Oryzias latipes: one gene and its partner. The protein of the gene in region 2 purifies or fractionates together with the protein of the main gene of each other region. This does not show direct contact. Links are inferred from orthologs where the notes say so. Each region holds a gene or a part of one and is shown on either strand. Other genes may lie near its edges.

Region 1 (2,491 bases), on a different chromosome or scaffold from region 2:
TTTAGCTGACGACAGTTTCGGTAAATAGATGACAACCAGACAGAAGAAGAAGAAGAGACGTTTGTTTACAGTTTGGCTGTTTTGCTGCAGCTCAACAGAAAAAAAGTTGAAGTGCACTTGGACTCCCTGCAGGGTTTCTGCTTCAACTGAATGTTCAGATGTCTCCTTTTGTCCCGCCTCCTAACTCCTCCTGATGTGTTTCAGGCCTTCTGTGGTTCGCAAGCAGCTAGGAGAGCTGGGAAAGGTCAGTGAGGAGGCGGAGAGAAGCAGCAAGGAGGAAACCGCAGCAAGGTACAGTGAGAAGTGTTACCTGAAGGAGAAGGTTGCCATCTTTTTGATCTTGTGTTTTTTGTTTTTGGGAAGACCCAAGCAGGACGGGCCCGACGGCGGCGACTCCATCAGCAAGAACAGCTTCAACAATCCCGCCTACTACATCCTGGAAGGAGTTCCCAACCAATCCGCTGCAGCTATTTCCCCAGAACTCCTCCCATCTCCCACTTCCAGCAACCCCCCAGCAGCTAAAGTCAACCCACCCTCAGCAGGAGTTCGAACCAAACCCCCTGCTGCACCCTCAGGGCCCCTTCACTTACGCAGAGCTGCAGCAGGCCCCCCAGCCCGGACAATCACTGAAGAGGGCTCCTCAGAGGACGATGGAGGTTCCTGCGTGGCGGGGGCACAGGGAGGAGGTGCTGGGAGCACTTTGAATCGGCCCCCTCCTGACTTTCCCCCTCCTCCTCTGCCTAAAGGAGCCCTGGAGATGGTAACGGAGGCCCCATTTAACAAACCCCGCCCCCTGTACCCAGATCTGGCTGAAGTCAGGATCCCACCAGCTGCACCTGGGGGCCCGCTGGCCCTGGGAGAGGGCTTCAGGCGAGGTGGGGGGATGGCGTTGGATGACCAGTCATGCTCCGTGCTGCAGATGGCTAAGACGCTGAGCGAGAGTGAGTTTGGTGGGCAGCCTCCACCCCGTGCTCCCTCAGCACCTCCACCTCTCCGAGGGCAGCCCATGGGGGCGGGTCTGGATGCCTGCCGCACCTTCCCCCCTAGAAACCCCATCACGGAAAGCATCGCAGAGGACATGCCGGAGGAGGTGAGCAGCGTTAAGGCTTAATAAACGCTCCACTTTGATCCTCCTAATCATCCCATAGACTTGTACAGAAGTAAACAGTTTATTACTCAGTCACTCTGTTTGTCAGAAGTACCATTTTTGCTTTGATACTTTAAAAAAAAAACACATTTTAAGGATATTTTTTTCTGTAATTCAAGTTAATTAAGTTATAAAATGACCAATCAGAGGCCTCAATAAAAGTAGGTGGGGCCGGCTGACCCCCATGTCCAACATTCGAAACCTTTGATTGACAGATTTCATGTAGCACAATTTCACGTGGTAGTGGTGTAGACTTCCAATAAGCTCACACCTGATAAGCCATGGTGGTTCCTATAGAAACGACTCAGACCATTCACTGTTTACTGACGTCTGGCTCCAGCATGGCGGCGTCAGTATCACGAAAAAATGGTGACTGAATTGACTTCATTTGGTCGGACGGATACCATTTTCAGTGGGTGACGTCCCACTCAATCCAGTTCTCTGATACAGTCAAACTCCCAATCCCACTGTCAGGGTGGACACTCCCACACTAGATCACTACTGTCCGTGGTTTACATTCCGGATTTCTCCAAATCATGGTTTGGTTGACTGATCCAGCGTTTCATGTTCGCAGGCCCTTTGGGGGAGCAGCAGCTCGTCTCTGTCAGTGGGGGAGTCGTCAGTGGGGGAGTGGCTGCAGAGGCTGGGCCTGGAAAAGTACGAGCAGGGCCTGCTGCACAATGGCTGGGACGACCTGGAGTTCCTCAGGTGCATCCAGTCGGTCCGGAAGTACCTTTACCCCTTTAACGCCAGAGATTTAGCTCCAGTGTTGATCTTCTTTGGATAGCAGTAACTCTTCACTCGCTAATGCATTTAACGAAATTCCAGCAGATTCTGAAAGCTGAGAAAAGTAGCTTTGTGCTGATTTGCAACACTTTACATCCTTAACCACAAAGCTGATGGAGTTGCGTCAACTGCGTAAACGGTCAAAGAGTTACAGGGGTTCAAAGAGTGTGCATATTATCCAATGACAGCTGAGTAGCACGCCCTCTGAACTCAGAACCAGCTGATTCTGAGGTGCAGAAATGTGACTTTTCACATCAACTTTGCACCGAAATGCAACACATTACTGCAAGGTGTAGCATAGTGGCGCAAAGCTGTTCGTGCATCAGAATCAGTGGATTTACATTGATTTACTTCACTACTGAAGTGTTGCATATCAACGTAAAGCTGCTTATTTCTGCCTTATAATCTGCTGGAATTATGTCTTTAATTGCGTAAACAGTTGAAGAGTTGGGGAAATCGAAAGAATGTCAAAACAAGAGCTAAAGCTTCGGTATTGAAGGGTTAAACCTGATAGAAATATTTAGCAAGAACTATATTCAGAAACTGTAAAAAAAAAAA
Region 2 (3,658 bases):
TCTGAAGGATGAACTTCAAAATAGAATACTAGTGAATGTGAAGATGTTAAAAGGTCTAAATCTTACTGATTTGAGCACACATCGTGGATACAACAGTTTTTCACCGAGATACAAGTAGGGCAGTGCTGAATCATTGCAGATTGTGGGTGTTCATACTTCAGACCATAAAAAAACACCTATATGTGTAAATGACATATTTGGATTTTTCTTCCTGGTTTGTCGTCTCTGTGCTGCAGGCCTCTCTGGATTCGAATGTGCTGAGTTGTGTGCATAAGCGGATGTCTTCTCACCAGTGTGGCTCCGGAGCGGGTCCTCATGTCAATAATTCCACCAGGAGGAGGCTGTTTCCCAGGGAAATTATTGTAGTAAGGAACTTCAGGAGGCGGGGCAATCTCATCATCCTCTTCATCCCATGCAGAGCCGTCAAACGGAGCCATTCTGACAGGAGATTTAAAAAAAAACAGATGAGCAAAAAGAGTAGTTTAAAACATATAGTTTAAGGTTTTTGTTCGAACGTACCTGTCATGGGGGGTGACCAGTTTAGGGGGGGTTTTAAGGTATTGTTTGAAACGCAGTTCAAATGCCTGGCCGATGGTGCTGATGACTTCTTGAGCTAAACCCTCTGTGCACTCCAGGATGTGACATGCTGCAAACAGAGGAGAGAGGAAGAACAGATTAGGAGGCTGTAGCTGTGCATCCTTGAAAGGAATCCAGAGCTCAAACGGAAAATAAGTTGAAACAGAGACAGTGCAGAGAGACGTAAAGATGGCTTGTGAATTTTGATCAAGTGCCTCAGAGAAAGCTACATTAGCAAAAAGGGTTTTCTTCACTTGCTCTTCTATACATTAAAGCAGCGCTTGATGAGCATCATTTAGAAAGGCCTTAAATGCTCCCCTTACATAGTTGTGTGAGAAAATGAACACTAATTTTGTCCTTTTTCTAAATGTTGGTAAATTATTTCATTCTTTACAAAAAAATTGGCTGCTGATAATATTTTTCTGAAGTTGCCAGGAAAATAGTCTGCAGCTCTTTATCACCATGCAAAAAGAGAGAACACAGGAAACGGCTGATTTATGGGCCACAGAATCATGATTAAATCTCTTCATAGAGGAACCCAAGTTCCGTTTTCAGACTCTTCCGTAGGATGTAACCTCTAAGATGGTTTTATTGTGTCGTTTCTGCTCACCTCTATGGTTGACTGGGTCTTTGGCCACATATGCTACGTACTCTGCTGTATCCTAAGGGAGACAGGGGAAGATAGTTAGGGGAGGAGAGGAAAGGGATGGGGGAGGGAAATCAATAAGAGGAAAGAAAGTGAAGGGTAGCTTTGAGACTGAAAGGCTGAGAAGAAGACAAGGAAATAGATCAAGCAAAAGCTGCCATCTTTAAGTCGCAACAGAAGTTAGAGACATACTATGAGCTGGAAAAGAGATAACAGGAAGTAATGCGGACGGGGGCTGCGAGCCACTGAGGCAGCAGTGAATTAAGTGGTATTCATAGGATTAGACAATGACTTAAGACAGGAAGGAAGGACATGCACGGTGATGAAAGATGGAAAAAGCCCAGAGTGCGACTTGAGCTGAAAGAGAGGGCTGGGTGACTCACTGGGTCTCCTCCAGAGGCAAAGGATATGGACTGCATGTGATGATTGGCAATAATCTGTGGAGACAAAGAAGAGTGGATGGAAGGAGAGAAGGGGAAGGAGAGCACACGGGGAAGATGAAGTATGTAGGAAGTGAAATCAAAGCGTGTTTATGGAAAAAAGAAATATGTACTGGTTATATAAAAATAATAGCCCCTTTTCCTCAATCGAACATCTGCAACAAAGATAAAAAATGAAGAAGGGATGGAGCACCTTTCTAACCGTCTGGAACAACCACCCTCAATGGATCAATAACAGCAACAACACTTGCTAATGCTTCACATACACAATGCATGCACCCAAGTTTTTTCTTTTTGGTGAATGGGTATATGATGTGCTAAACGACATGCTCCTTAGTGCTATGTGTTAATGTGAAAGCACTGCACTGCTGTATACCAATCTCCCCAAAGATAGACATCGCTCAGTGGCTATTAACTCATTAGAGGTCTGAGAGGCGCATCACATCCTGCCCAGTGGTAAGGCAAGAACCAAGACAATGTTAGGAAGGATTTGTGCAGCATCCAGAGTAAATGAGCTAAACAAAGTGGAGAGGCTCTAAATGTATCTGTAAATGTTCCAGAAACTGCCAACCCTGTAATCGGGACTATCCCAGAAACTAAACGTTCATTCAGGTCAGCCTTCTCCCATTTCTGAGCTGTTTGCTTTCATGAGTGAAAGCAGTGCTTAAAAAAAGTGTTGCAAAAGTTATACATATTTTCAAAACACACAAAAAAAGACTCAGCAATCCACTCAACATATTTTTTTTATCGAAAAACAAACACAACTGACAGGAGTTTAAAGAGAAAAATAGACATCTGCCGCAGAATCCTTGTCATCTAGGAAAAAATAACTATTGCATTACTGAACTTAAAACCTTTACAGGAAAATGGCAAAAGCATCAGAAAACACTTGCTTCTTCGAAATATGTCTACATTACAGAACTGTTTTTCCCCCAGGCTCCTCAAACATCATCGCCATTACAACTACATCTTACAATTGACAGGTTGTGTACGTCACAGGTTGTTACGCAAGCACACTGATAAGCAGGAATATCTTGAGCTTGCTAATCAATAGTCAGCATAACACTTTGAGAGAGCCAGAAAATGTGATAGCAGTCTAACCTGTTTGCAGTCAGAAGCTAGCAGGTTTAGGCTGCTGGTTGAGATGGTGAGGCTGATTGGCATGCCTGCAAACTGCAAGTTACTCTTTCCCAGAATTGATGTGAGACACCGAGAGGAAGGCTGTGAAGAAGAGCAACACAAAGCAAGAAAGAACTTTACTAAATCACAAGCTGATTTTATTTGGTGAAACTAACATTAATAAGAGTGAATGAGAGCTGGATACATATCTGTGGAAATAAATGAGTAAATGCTTTTGAGTGTGGGAGTGAGACGGTTACTGCAACTCCAAAGAATGATCTGGTCTCTAAAGCCAATGACGCCTGTGAGGGAGGCCAGATCACATAATTTAGGCTTGACAATGAATATCACATGGGCCAGGCCAAAACAATTGTGCCAACTCATCAACTCCAATCCACCTCCTGTTCTCACAGCTTTCATCCAAATTTGCTCCAGAATATTTGGAAAATGCTGAGAAAAGCAGCTCATGCTTAGCCACAGTAACCTAAAAAAAAGGCAGAAGTGACTAGTTTTATCTATTGCAGTCATCATATTTTAGCATTTTTTTGTCTGGAATAGTAGACTGCCAGTAATTCACTGGTCAAACCCAGTTTTGCAAGCAGACCGAACAGCTTTATAGACTGTTTGGGTGGATGCTTTTAGTTTTACAGACACAGCGTTTGGAGGCTGCGTTTGCTAATCCATAGTGCTTCTTAAGCCGGACACTGGCTCCCCACAAGCCTCCCCTGTGGCACGGGAGAGGGAGAAAAGAGACCTATAGTGATTGGTAATTACCTGCAAGTGGCTCACTCACCACACAAGTGCACAATTATCTTAAATCAAGCTCTTTGTGCGCTTACGCAAAAACAAAAAGAATTCCAGGGAAGCCATTGGTACA

The links.
Region 1: the proteins of shc1 (region 2) and inppl1 purify together in Homo sapiens (affinity purification with western blotting; 4 studies listed by BioGRID and IntAct, with this or other methods). This does not show direct contact. The link is inferred for Oryzias latipes from reciprocal best matches to the Homo sapiens genes SHC1 and INPPL1.

The regions. Positions count from the first base shown.
Region 1 is NC_019871.2:21,856,757-21,859,247, forward strand, and holds part of inppl1 (phosphatidylinositol 3,4,5-trisphosphate 5-phosphatase 2), read left to right. Parts: intron 1-204; coding exon 205-291; intron 292-363; coding exon 364-1,090; intron 1,091-1,721; coding exon 1,722-1,855; intron 1,856-2,491. UniProt on the Homo sapiens protein: Phosphatidylinositol (PtdIns) phosphatase that specifically hydrolyzes the 5-phosphate of phosphatidylinositol-3,4,5-trisphosphate (PtdIns(3,4,5)P3) to produce PtdIns(3,4)P2, thereby negatively regulating the PI3K (phosphoinositide 3-kinase) pathways.
Region 2 is NC_019874.2:18,326,787-18,330,444, forward strand, and holds part of shc1 (SHC-transforming protein 1), read right to left. Parts: intron 2,884-3,658; coding exon 2,764-2,883; intron 1,660-2,763; coding exon 1,606-1,659; intron 1,239-1,605; coding exon 1,187-1,238; intron 647-1,186; coding exon 520-646; intron 439-519; coding exon 291-438; intron 1-290. UniProt on the Homo sapiens protein: Signaling adapter that couples activated growth factor receptors to signaling pathways. Participates in a signaling cascade initiated by activated KIT and KITLG/SCF.